Mytilus edulis: one gene and its partner. The protein of the gene in region 1 interacts with the protein of each later gene in a pairwise test. Links are inferred from orthologs where the notes say so. Each region holds a gene or a part of one and is shown in the gene's direction. Other genes may lie near its edges.

Evidence for each region. The genes of interacting proteins can lie anywhere in the genome.
Region 2: the proteins of ras GTPase-activating protein-binding protein 2-like (region 1) and E3 ubiquitin-protein ligase SIAH1-like interact in a two-hybrid assay, tested with the Drosophila melanogaster proteins (2 studies listed by BioGRID). The link is inferred for Mytilus edulis from reciprocal best matches to the Drosophila melanogaster genes rin and sina.

What each region holds. Positions count from the first base shown.
Region 1 is NC_092352.1:25,710,477-25,718,095, reverse strand, and holds the start of ras GTPase-activating protein-binding protein 2-like, read left to right. Parts: upstream 1-4,535; 5' UTR 4,536-4,646; intron 4,647-4,648; exon of another isoform or gene 4,649-4,992; intron 4,993-5,039; exon of another isoform or gene 5,040-5,104; intron 5,105-6,709; 5' UTR 6,710-6,730; coding exon 6,731-6,825; exon of another isoform or gene 6,826-7,323; intron 7,324-7,619.
Region 2 is NC_092350.1:59,087,631-59,094,830, reverse strand, and holds the start of E3 ubiquitin-protein ligase SIAH1-like, read left to right. Parts: upstream 1-4,102; 5' UTR 4,103-4,183; intron 4,184-7,200. UniProt on the Drosophila melanogaster protein: E3 ubiquitin-protein ligase that is required for specification of R7 photoreceptor cell fate in the eye by mediating the ubiquitination and subsequent proteasomal degradation of Tramtrack (ttk).

The sequences.
Region 1 (7,619 bases):
CAAAAACCAAAATCTAATACATAGATGGATTCAGCTTTTCAAAGAACCTCATAAAATCATAAAATCATTTTAAAATCGCGATGACATTATCGAATGCAAAATAGCATTCCTTATTGCTTGTTATAAATTCAATTCTTCAATGAATTCTCATAAAAATATTTCTTTTAGACTGTGACATAAATTAATAATATGAAAATGTTCTGTCGTTCGAAATATATATATCAGTAGAAATTCATTAATATCTATGCACACGTACAGAAAAATTTGTTAACCATGCGGAATAATATCTCAAGAACGTTTTGGGGGAAATATGAATGCCTACTCAAATCCCGCGATCTATTTAAAATAAAGAATTATTACAGAAGAGTGGCACCATTCACTTGCACTGCACAATCATTAGAATAGTAGAAAAGAATGATATACAAATGGATGAAAATTATATATTCATGTTTTACTGTTATACTAGTATACAAATATTAATATAATATATAACAACAAACCAGAGTATACTTATTTGTATCGCTACAACTTTAATAGTTATAACGGTGAGATTGAATTCTCTGTCATTTATTCATCATCAATGCACGCACGAACTTGTCTCAGATTTTTAAAAAAATTTATTATACCTCACTTTCAGGTATACAGATGTGATTTTTTTTTTAGACAAGTGTGACCATCAACAAGAACTTGCAGTCATCCGATGTTCAGTATTTCAGTACTTTCATTAATCTTTCTTCTAATGACTCTGTTAGAGCAGTTTGCGTAAGGAGCTCACTCCTTCATGCGCGAGCATAACGTACCATACGACGGAGCAGAGGACTAAACAATATATAGAGAATATATGTTATTTTTGCCCGAGTGATTTAGATCTTTTATTTAATTCATGATATATTTTTTTTTCACTGACCCCATCACTCATAATATTTGATTTAAGTGGATTTTTTTTTTATCTTACATTGATCTTTTGATGTCATCCTTTAATCAACTCATTGCCGTTTCATCTGAAACTGTGAACATATATTTGTTCCGCATAATACTTGTTCCCCCTGGAACAAAACTATGGATAACAAAAGTTACATAATATTAATTCCACCTTCATAAGATATTTTCCTGGAACTAAAATATCATATGGTTTCATAATATTTGTTCCTCTAAAAAAGAGTGTCATTTGATTTTTATGCCCCACCTACGATAGTAGAGGGGCATTATGTTTTTTGGTCTGTGCGTCCGTTCGTCCGTCCGTCCGTCCGTCTGTTCGTCCGTCTTTCCCGCTTCAGGTTAAAGTTTTTGGTCAAGGTAGTTTTTGATGAAGTTGAAGTCCAATCGACTTCAAACTTAGTACACATGTTCCCTATGATATGACCTTTTTAATTTTAATGCCAAATTAGAGTTTTTACTCCAATTTCACTGAACATGGAAAATGATAGTGCGAGTGGGGCATTCGTGTACTGAGGACACATTCTTGTTTACACCTGATTAGATCTGAATTAACCGGCTTGGAATCTGAACTTAATTGATCTATGTTTATATTAGTTGTACTTGCATCATTCCTTTTAATAATATCTATAGATATTGTAATAATAGTTAAATTTAAAATTTATTTCTTGTCCTGCACATGTATAATGGGGGGGGGGGGGGGGGGGGGGGGGGGGGAGGGGTCCCGATCCCGAAATCCTGGGTTTAAAACACAAAATCCCGAGGACCCTAATTCAAATAATTCAAGTTAATCCCGACATCCCGAAATTCGAAAAAAAAATAATCCCGGATTCCGAAAGGGTCAATCCCGAAATTCCGAGCTTAAAAATACCCGATCCCGTAGTCCCGATAAAAGTCATATCCCGGTCCCCTCTCTAAGAGTAAATCATTGATATTTGACAGATATTAAATACAAATATTTTATTAGCACAAACTCATCAACAATAAATGGTTAAGGCTCATGGTATATCAATTACATAGTTGGTCAAACATAATAAGTATTACAAATAATGAGTATATTAATATGTAATATTATAAACAATGATTATGAATTAGACATTTTGACAATTTTATGGAGTTTGTTCTGCTTTACGCAGGTTCAAACTGTCTGAAATGAAAGAGGACGTCAATTTTAGGATTGTGTATGAATTATTATTTAATAAAAAGATTATATTATTTTCATGTTTTTTTAATTTTGTAGAATCAACGATTATATTTGAAACTTTTGATAAAATATGGCCCTTTTAGTTGAGTATTTTTCACAATGTAAAAGAAAATGGTTTTCATTTTCAATTTGACCAGAGTTACATACAGAGCAGTATCTCTCATTTCTGGGAATATTTAAATGTCTCCCTCTTTCAATCATCAGCATATGAGCGCTTATACGGATCTTACATATTGCAGCTCTGTCACTTCTGATTTTCAATATATCAACATAGGGTGGTCTTCTGTCCATTATGTAGACACTCTTGAAAAAGTCTAACTTTTTTTATTCAAATATATTTGCATTTTGAACTTGCAAACATTGGTCATTAATTCTTTGTTTAATAGAAGTTAAATTACCTTTAACATAATTAAAGTTATTGGTGATATAAGACATTCCAAGTCCATTCAAAAGACTCTTGACCTTTATGACCCAAGGGTTTGAATCTACAGATTTAGTGAATATATCATATGCCAAAGAATTTTCCGAAGAAATTATATGGTTCAGGTAGTTGAATATTGAATATAATATTTTATTATTCAAGGGAATTCTATTAAGTTCGGCTCGACATCCATCATTAGATGCCTTACAGTGAACCCCTAATATGTCTTTGATAAATTTAACATGAAGTTTTTCAAAGGGATCAGAGTCTTTAAAATGTGAATCCATCCCCCAAATTTCACTACAATATGTAAGAATGGGAGTAACTAAACAATCAAACAATTTTTCAAGAAGTCTACATGGGTTGTTGAGACCTATAGTTTTCTTTATCTTATAATATGCCTTCCTGGCTTTTTCCATGAGAGTATTCACAGCAAGGCAAAAATTGCCATTATACTTTAAAACAATAACCAAGTAACAATAATTTGTTACCGTTTCAAGATATGCATTATCATAAGTAAAATGGTTTAACAATGTTTTGCCATTAGAATTAAATATCATAATTTTTTATTTATCAGTATTAACTTGTAGTTTCCATGACGAACAATATTCATGTAAAATATCAAGAGATTTTTGTAGACCCTCTTCGCTTTCAGATAGTAAAACAATATCATCTGCATATAAAAGAATGTTCAAAGAGGTATCTCCAATGGCAACTGGATCCGTATGTTTGTTATCAAGATTACCTACTAGTTCATTTATAAAATAGTTAAAAAGAAGGGGACTCAATACGTCACCTTGTTTAACATCCCTTTCTGGTAGGAATGGAGGACTGAAACCATTAGGGAATTTTATTCTACATACTGTATCAGTATACATTGAATAAATAACATTAAACATTTTTTGGGGGATATTATGTTTTATGAGTTTAGAAAATAAACCTAGTCCATAGGCGGATCCAGGGGGCCCGGGCCCCCCCTTTCGTGGGAAAAATTTGGTTGATTATATAGGGAATCATTGAAGCATGACTGGAGCGGGCCCCCTCTTAGGTCAGTCAGCGGCCCCCCCCCCCCCTTTAGGAAAAGTTCTGGATCCGCCACTGTTAAGTCGCCATACAGTATCAAATGCCCTTTTTAAGTCTATGAAGGCAGCAACAAAAAATTTCCAAGTTTTTTTGTCTATATTGATCAGTTATGGTCTTAAGAGTGAATATGTGGTCAGCTGTACGACTTTTCTCTTTAAAACCTATTTGATTTTTACTTATTAAATTTTTGATATCCATAAATGTTACTAAACGTTTACATGGTTTATATAAAACTTTATTAAAAAGTTTACCCAGGTTGGAACTAATAGATATACCTCTATAGTTCCCTGATCAAATTTGTCCCCTTTCTTATGCAAGAGAACAAGACTAGTAAGCTTTCATTCCATAATCTCGGAAGTTGACCAGATTCGAATATGCTATTAAAGAGTTTATGAAGTGGTTTTATTTAAAAAAATAGGGATTGCATTTTTCAACATTTCATTGGAAATCATGTCGGCTGATATGCTTTTGCCATTTTTTTTCAAACGAATAGCTGTTACTATCTCTTCAATTGTTATCTCTGAACTCAAGTGAGTTAAGTCATCCGTAACATGTGATAAATTAAACTGTTCTTTTAGAGAGTCAAAATCTTTAATAATTTTAGAGTGAAAACTATTGTGATTTATGTCACAGCTATTCAATTTTGTTATAAAACTGGATGAAATCTTCTTGTGGTACAGATTCATTTTCTTTGTTATTACTTTTTTGTCTACTTAATTTATTCAAAATGTTCCAAAACATCTTTTCAAGAGACATACAAAATATGTCTCTGATATTTGTCACGGTACCAAAAAGTGAAATAACAAAAATAACCTAACTGCAGAAATTTAAAAAAACCAGACAGTTCTTTGATCCTTATAACAAAACCAGAAGAGTTACTATCATATATCCTGATTCAGGACTATGTAAACCGTTTTTTAAATCTGATTTTGTTTTTTATGTGCCCATTCCGATCCTTATTAGCAGAGAAACAAAGAAATGCATTCTCATTGAAGGTTAAAGGTAAGACTTCGGTGGTCGTTTTTGAGTTATTAGAAGTGGACTACTCTTATTTAAAAGAAATTTTACGTTTAAAATGACAAAAACATTGTATGTTCTTTGAAGAAATTGAAATTTTGACCACAGTAATTCCGATTTGGGGGATACAATTTGGCACACAGGGTGTCCCCGTTATGTGCGCAAATTTTGACAAAATTAGGACTCACTGCGCACACTGCATGTGCAATTCTTCGTAGTTTTTACGGACGTCAAATCCAATATTTTATCATTTTAAGATTCATATATTTAGTATTCTAATGTATTTGTAAATATTTTATTCACATATCACCAAAAATTCACCATTCGTGAGGTAAGTTTACATCAAAAAATTGATATTTTACAGTGAAATTATGAACCGGTATTTTTCCTCGTGTGTTCAGACATGGCTTCCGTGATTATTTTCACTTTCTGATATACATTTTGTAAGCGTTTGAATGTTTAACCTTTTTGTGAAAATTATCCTTGATCCTTTGACATAACTTATGAAACACTTTATTGTCAGATTTGGAGAAATTCTTGTACAGAATTTTGAGGTTTATTGCCATGAAACAAATTATTTTGTAGTGTTGCCATGAAACTATTTTAGTAAAGGTATATCATTATATCTAAAGAATATTTTCATACTGACTGAAATTGATTAATAAAGTCTTCTCTTGTTTTGTTAAAAGTTAATCTTGAAATTAATTTTCAGATTTAGTAACTTTTATTTTGTTGGATAGTTTACTTTCACATAATTTGGTGCATTTTCTAGAACATTCTGATGTCAATAACAGAAAATATAAGGAAAAAAAGCGTTTGTTCCGGGATAAGTTAGTAACCGAAATGTAGGGATTGTCACTTCCAACATATATCGAGGGATGAGGCAAATAAATGTTGATCTTATAGTTATAATTTATACTGCACAAAATATTTTCGAAATTTAACAAGTTGGTCACCTTCCCAAAGTTGTACGGAAATGAAAATCCTGTACTTACAGAACATCAATTATTAACAGACTACCCTGCAGAATGGCGATTCCGAAAGTGCTTGAACTTTTAATTAGGCAGGGATACAATTGTGCCTTCTAAGTTCTATCTGGCAAATGACATCATAAAGGCTTAAGAAATTGATGATCTTTTCTGGTAGAAAGACATTCGAGGAAGTGGCATATTGTTCAGTGATGTCTTGTAAACTAATGATGAATTCACTGGGTTCAACAGGCATAACCAATTATGATTTTTTTAATTTAAATATGGTTTAATCATGTGCTTCTTATTCTGCCTTCATGTTCGCAACTTTTAAAAAAGTGTCTGTTTTTATTTAATATATTCCTCTGTTTGTGCTTAATTTCCTACAACAGGTTATTATTCTTTGTATAATCACCAAACATGGGGTTTGTTCCCATCTTTAAACAGACATGACTCGTATTATAAAATAATTGAAATGGTCTGTTCTTGTGCTGTATAAATGAAATTTTTTATTTAAATTTATATCAATTTTATTTCTTATACATGTAGCATAGATTTTTTTTTCTATGATTGCTCTGATAAGTTTTGTGTGCCAGCATTTAATTTTTCTCCATAAATATTTTGAGTGAAAACTGATAGAACAAACAGTATTGTCACCATGATGGGAGAGTAGTGGACAGAACAGGATTACATTATTGTATTTAGAGATTACAAGGATGAATGAACAAATGTAGGGGTATTCATTAACAAAACATATCATCATGCCAACAACAAAAATAACCAAAAAGACTTCACCAGTTGTCCTGGTATTAAAACCTCCTTGACTCCTAAGTGAGCCCATGATTCACCTGTTCACAGTTCAAGTTCATAGAAAGAACACAAATATTTGACACATTAAAGTTATAGAAGTACAGCAACATTTAAAATTTATTCTTTGATAACATTTTCTAAATATTATTGTACATGTAGTAATTTTAAGCTGCAGTAGGTAAATTGTGTAAGGTTATGTCAGATAATTAAAATGAAAAAGACCTGAAATAATGAAAAAATTCTCTTAATTTTATAAATTGTATTTTTCAGATTACTTAATAATACAAAGTCATGGTTATGGAAACCCCAAGTCCACAGTGCGTTGGCCGTGAATTCGTTAGGCAATACTATACCTTGCTAAACGAGGCCCCACTGCATCTTCACAGGTAAATATCCAAGTGCAGATCTAACAATTCGGCTTTTGTAGACCACAATGTCCTTAATAAAAAAAAACAACATCAATTCCAATGAAAATGCATATGACCTGTCACCAAGAAAAGAGGATTACAGACAAATTTCCGTTGGTGAACAAATTTCTACCATGCCATACGAAAGATTGTTTTGATCCATTTGTAAAAAAAATGGCATGTAATTTTTTCAGGTTCTACATCATTTCAGATGTCAATTCTCAAAAGAAATAACCAGTCTTTGAAAACTTAGTTGTGTCTGACAAATCACTTGATTTTTATTAATATGCAAACAAAGCAGACATTCTGAGCATGTTAATACACTGCAGTTGTCAAGGTTGGATCATTATCAGTTGACTTAGGCTGATCAAAAGGAATTTACAAGTATGGTCATGATCACCAAATTTCTTCAAAGAGATCAGACAAACAGTACACCTGGAAAGGTTCAAGGCATGGCTTGACCCAGATTTATAACTGGTATTAGTGTTTCCTGCAGCTTTTAAAAAGGGCAGGGTAATTGTTAGCTCAGAGGGCACATTAAGCGCGATAGACAATAACTTTAGGGCACTTACTTAACATAAACAGGCAATTTCTATAAAATGGATTCATTTAAAAAATACTAGTTTAATGACCTCTTAATAGTTATTGTTCAAAATATATACATGTAACAGACTTCTTTCTGGGTCTATCATATTCTTGATGTGGGACCACATTGAAAAAAAATGTTGGTTTGCCAAAGCCAGAGTTCCATAAAAAAAGATCAGGGTGATAGG
Region 2 (7,200 bases), on another chromosome or scaffold:
ACACTAAAAAAAATGTCGTTTCTGATGTTGTTGTGCCTACCAAAAATATATCCCAGATATCTCGCAGATCTTTATCTGTAGGATTTTTCATGTCTAAAGTGGCTCATAAATTTTTTTGATACATGTAATTGATGAACTTCTTTTATTTATAGAAAAAAGTGTAATCGCGATTTTTACTTGTTTTCAAATCAAGCTTTCATAGTGTTTATTCCAGTGGACCATTTTACTATTGTATCAGTGGCGGATTCAGAACTTTTTATAAAGGGGCGCTTATACTGACCTAAGGGGTAGGGGGATCCAGTCATGCGTTAGTGATTCCCTAATATATAATCAACCAATTTTTTTCAACGAAAGGGGGCCCAGGCCCCCTGGATCCACCTATGTTTATCATGCTGGTTTCAAATATGTGCTTAAACAAGTTCAACCACTGAGAGATTGTGTACATGTCTCTTTTTTTTTTATATCCGGTAAAAATCTATGTATATTTATTTTAAAAATAAATGCCGAGTCAAAATAGAGTTTTCTTAGCATCTTATCTGATCTGATCTTATCTTTTCTATACTGAATACAAAAAAAAAAGTGTTTACCTGCACATACAATCAGAGATCAGTTATCTGCATTAGCATATGTTTATCATCTGGGACTATTATGCTCTATTATGTCAATACTATTATGTTCCAGATATCCTGTCTCGATCGGGTTCATAAATAATAAAAGAATAAGCTTTATTTGGAGTCGGCATAGTATACAAGCAAGGATATCTAACATTCATAACAATACAACATATAAACATGCAATAAATCAAACAGCACAAAATGTAGCACGTAAAGCATGCATGGTGGTAATTAGCAGAAAATAAGCAAGATAAGACCGCGGGTGGGGGTATACTGGCTACCCATTTCGGTTATGACTGTGCTGACAGCACTTGCCAAATCATACCCTGTTCTAAGGGAGCTACTATTTGATTTTTATGGGGGGGCTAGGATAAAAAATTGTGTCCTGCCTTTTTTTTTTTAGTTGTAATCTCTGTCCTGCCTTTTTATTTTTCAGTCTATTCGGTCCTGTCTTTTTTTCTTAGCTTATCCTGACTTTTTTACAACAATTGTCATCCTGCCTTTTTTGTTTGCCAAGTTACTCATCCTGCCCTTTTTTTTTTTAACTCAAAATCCTGTCCTGCCTTTTTTTCAAATATCATCCTAGAATTTTAAGCTTTTAAGACAAGTCATTGAGTTTTAAAGTCAGTCTAAGTATAATGAGAAATCGTCGTCTACATATACTGTAGAAGCGGATATTTTCGTGGAGGATTTAATTTCGTTTATTTCGTGGAAAGAATATATCTATAATACTAAAATTACGAGGTCCAATTTGTCAGCCGTCATCGGGTAAAAACGACAAATCAAAGAATTCAACTCTATATATAACTAATATAGGACAATGGTGTAGATTAAAAATTACACCACTCCAGACCCTTTTGTTTTCCACATAATTAATATTGCCAATAATTAACAAGTTCCGGGTCGAATCCGATACCAATACCAATAGTATATTCACCTGTTAGCTATTACCTTATCTGTACGTTCCGCATTTGACAGGCGCACCACCAAACGGTGTATTTAGGATTTTGCTATATACACGGGTCATAATCAAAGGGACACTACTAAATTCAATCATTGTCAAATTGTTCCCTATTATAGTTTTATTCAGCAATCAGCAAGACTTTCTAAGATAACTAATATAGGACAATGCTGTTGATTAAACAATACTCCATTCCTGAGGCCCCTCATGGGGGGTCCTAGTAATCACATAATCACCATTTTTTTGCCAATATAATCACATAATCATTAAATATTTGCTTATCTTTAGTAATCAAATAATCATAAACTAAAAATACAGTCCTAGGTAATCAAATAATCATGAAATATTTGGCTTAATAATCAAATAATCATTAAAAAAACGGCCAAGTAATCACATAATCAAAAACCCCATGAGGGCCCTCATTCCTGGATAGCCAGGACCTTTGTTTTCCAAATAATTAATATTACCAATAATTGATAAGTTCCAGATCGACGGGTTCAAACAGAAAGATTTGAAAGCAGAGAAAACTTTGTATTTATAACCGACATGCCTTTATCAGATGACAATACTAATTACTTAAATAAGGCTTAGGCATAGTTATATACTTTAATTCAGTCACGGACCCGCGATATCACGGGTGTGTACTTGTCATATATATATATATATATATTCTTCATTCTCCATTTATATATATATATGGAGTCCATGAAAATTTAACAATTATATATATATATTCCATTTATTGGAATCCACGAAATTAAATCCCAATGAAATCTTATTAACACACAAAAACGCGAAATTTTAACCCCACGGAAATTAGTGTTTCTACAGTATATATGAGACAATATCTGAAAAAGTCTAATTTCCATGTCTCCCACTTCACCAGCAATTATTTTTTTATTCGACCATCTTTTTTGAAAATTTTAAGTTTCAGTATAAACTAAATTATATAATGCACCATGGCCTGCCAATTAAACACTCATTCTTATATTTCTTCCAATAAAATATTGTAATTTAAATGTTCAACCCCCCCTAAAATCATGTTGTCCCCTGTGTTTTTTTGAAAACTAAATCATTCAAATAATATCCAAATTAATTAAACAGGCGTCCGATTCTCACATATATGATATATTATATAATAAACTTGCCCCTAATTTGTCTTTTTATGTTATAACTATAGCATGTAATAAAATTTTGCAAATTTTAACAGAAAAAAAAATTTGTCCCCAAGGGTGATTTCCCTCCTGTTACCACTGTGTTTTTTTTACCTGTGGAAACGTTTACAAGACCAAGAGTTATTTTCCCATTATGAATTGTGAAGAGCATCATTTCCTGAATGCATTAGTACAAAGAAATAGTTGGAAAGGCGGCCAGGTTTGAAAATTCAAGCCCATATCCAAGGTAAGAATTTATAGAAAAATACTTATTGGTGTTCTATCCTGTTACAGCCTTTTCTTACACTTTCTGAGAATATTTTTAAGTGTGCACCACAGCATTAAGTGTGTTTTTATATCATCTTTTTAAAAGTTATATGTCACAGGAAATACACTTACATTTAATGTGATAAAAAGGACAAAAACTATCGCGTAATTCCTTTCTGTTACGTTCTGTCATGTTACCTGATAAAAAGTAACAGCATAACCATCATCAGTAACAGGAAGGATGTTCAAGACAATTTTACTGAAGAATCGAAAAGTTAATCTACTATATGCCAACCATTTCATTTAATATAAGTTATCACCACCATATTAAATAAATTTCAAAATAATATACAGTATATTGAATTAAAAATTAGGTTTTTTGCTTTTGATAACAGCAGAGAACATTGTGCAATTCTAGTATAGTAGATAGTAACAGAAAGGAATTTATTTTAGAATTTTTCATTACCTAGGCAGATTTTTCATCTTGCAAATACAGTTTCAAAGGATAAATGACATCGTTTGCTGTTATCTTCCAATTGTAACCAATTTAAAATGATGTATTTTTCTTAAACATTAAAGTAAAGCAGAAAAATCCTTTCTGTTACCAACTCTGTCCTGTTACCGTTGTGCTGTTACTCAAGATTCTTTCATGTTACCGACATATCTGACTATATTTACGTATATTTCTAAACCTTTTGTATTGCAAATGCATAATCAATAATTGGCATTTGATAAACTGTTGCAGGATATACTAGTAAACCACAAATAGTGTCTTAAACTTATTCCTTATTCCCATTAGAAACTTTTTTAAATTGATTCACTTTGGTAACAGGAAAGAACTGGATTTGTTTGTATCATTTTTAAAATAGCCATTGTTTCCTTATTAAACAATTGTTTGAATTACAGACAACAGTTCCTAGATCCCCAATGTGTGTTCTTCGATTTGTGCTATTAAAATACTGGGTCTAAAAAAAAAAAGTTGTTTTTTCTTATTTCCAAAAATTAGACTTTTTCAGATATTGTCTCATATATAAATTTATATTATAATATAGTTAACTTTAAACTTCAATTCATAATTTCCCGCTAAAACTACTTATAAAAACCACGATATGTACAACGGAAATGATGACGTAGAACGCATATAAATGGAGAATGAAGAATAATTATCTCGTAGAAGAAAATAGAATGTAATGTTCTGTGTTTACTATGATATATTTAATTGATATTTAGAAAATCTTATGTCATAGTTAAAAATGTCATAATGTACTGTGTTGATGGTCATAATGAAAATCCAGTCGCAATAAAACGCACAAATCGCCCATTTCTGTTTACGGTTTTACAACAAAATTTTTCACAAACCAGACATCTTTTTTTAACGATTCTACTTTCACGAAAACAATGCCTTTTCAAATAAGAAAATAAACATCTGCAATATTCTCAATGCACCACCATACTCCAAATGAGATGGCATACATTTGGTCTATTTACAACATAAATTATATCATGCAGTCACAGCCACAGGCATCATAGTTTATACACCTTAAATTCTAACATGACGTTAATCTAACCCTGTGAGTACACACTGCTGATAATATTAATATAATAGAAATATATTGTTTGGGCTGTTTGGATCATACTCGCACGTCATAAGCTTTTTTATGAATGAGATACCCGACATACCTGCCAACTTTCACGATTTAGGCGTTTACTACACGATTTTGACCCTCTGTCCCGATTACACGATCGTGATCTTGAAAATAGCCAAAAAACACGATTTTAGTAAAATTTACACGAAAAATATTTTTGTTCCCGATTTTGAACTTTTAAAAGTTTTCCCAAGGGAGACAAATCGTGTCTGACAAATTTCATCCAATCAAAATTTAGTGATCACGCATTCACCAGTTGATTAATGTCGGCATAGTAAACAATCAAAGAATTGAAATTTTGAGTTGTTTTTTTTTTTTTAGCTTGGGTGTCAAATTTATAAAAATTGGAATCATGATGGGCGAGTTATCACTTGCAAAATAGTTCTGTCACGGCCTAAGAAAAAAAAGCGTGTTGCTTCGTGCAAATACTTAGAGAAATGGGAGAATGATGTCAAGTACAGGGGCTGGTTGTCTAAATCAACGTTAGGATTGTCACATGCCTTTTGTAAAGTTTGCAATAGAGACTTTAAAGTTGACCACGGTGGCCTTAATGATGTCTCCAAACATTCTAGTACTGCTTGTGATATTGATCTATATAATATATGAGGGTTTGGATGGGGTTAAATGATTAAAGAATATAATGCCCTTAAAAAATGAAGATAAGGGAATAACGGGCAAAAAAAAATTGGAGAAATGCGTGGTCAAATTTTTTGAAGATTAGAAAAAAAAGAGGTTAATTTTTTGAAGATTAGAGAAAAAAGGGGTGAAAATTAAATGTTTACAGAACAACAGTCCCCCCCCCCCCCCCCCCCCATTTCCAGACCCTCATATATTGTTGTTTTTTTTGTTATTAAATTATTAAAATATTACTTTTTTTTTATTTCTTGACAATGTATCAGACAAACATAAAGTCATCTTACTGGTGTTTATCTCAACAAAAAGAATACAACAATCAAACAATTTAAAAAAAGATAGGTTATAATAGCATCTTCAACTATCACCCCCCAAAAAAGAAGTATGTCAGACACTTTTAGGAGCCAAATCAACACACGAAAAAATGCCGCGAAAAATTCTACCCTCAAAAATGGTGCCGCGCACAAAAACCCCCATGGCCATTTTCAAAAGTTGGCAGGTATGACCCGACGTCATGAAAAGATGACGTAATTATACACACTTTTACGTCAAATTAATAGTGCGTTTATTTACAGGACCAGCAAATATTTCCCTTCACCTAATGCGCATCGATAACAAAAAATGTTGTATTTGCCCTATTTATAGAATAGAAATAATTCATGGGGGCTTGAATTTATACTGATTTTACCACATGTTTTCCCTTTATGCTGATGTTTTACCCCTTGCTGTCCCACTTGGTAAAATATTTAGCATAAAGGGCAAACCCATTGTAAAATCAGTCTAAATTCAAGCCCCATGAACTATTTCCTAATCATATTTTGCTAATCGCTATTTTGTGCATTTCTAGGTACCTCTAAAGTTTCCATAAAATTTTGATGTCATACTTGTCATAATAGAAAATATCTGACGACACAATAGAAAAGTGATAAGGCCAGACTTTTTTTAATATCTGTTTAACGAGATCCGCTGACTCCACCTTTCCCGATTTTAGAATAAAAACAAAAGTAGTGCTTCTTACTTTTATTATTATTTTTCCCGCCGACTGTTACGAAATGCTCAGAAAAAAATAAAATGTGTTGTTCACGATACTCGCTTTCAGTCAATTTCGTTATCGGTAATATTTAATTTTTACCAAGTCAATGAAAGAGCAATTTGCATTTAAAAGTAAAGAAATTCAAGGCATACACGATATATTTTCTTCTAAAAGATTTTTAAGCTGGGGGCATGCTTTTCATACTTGTTACACGAGAGCGTACATCAAATCATTCTAACTTTCGGCAAAATCAGTTATTACTTCATCAGAACTTGATGAAATTAGCCTCAAGTAAACTTGTCATCCATGTATTGCATTAGAAACGTCATATTCCTTTCCAAATAGCGTATCAAACATCGTTTATTTTTGTAAATTTTTCTTCGTCCGACATTTAAATTTGTAGAACTACGGATCGAAATCAGGATTTCATCAGAAACGGACCCGCTATGACCGAAATCCGGATTCTTGCGATAATGACTACAGACGCATGAATGGCACTGCTGACAGACAAAAATTGATCCCAAAAGGGAAAATTACGCATTCCACACGCATTAACATACTTTTGGTTAGATCTTCTTGATTAATGTATATATTTCCATGTATAAGCATTGTTTCAATTTATAGGTTAAAGTTACTTAACTCTGGGACTATTACACCAGAGACATATATACACATGTGTATATGTATGTCTCTGCATACACTAAGAGGTTCCTGACTGGGTGACTGGTATATACATATATAGTGTATATGCAGCGAGGTTGATATATTTGAGTGGTGCCATGGATCTATATTAGTGGAAATACAGAATCAAAACATAGTTTTTATGTTTATATTAATAGAAGGGTTAACCAGAGACATATATAAATTATATGTATTTATATTTCTCTGGATT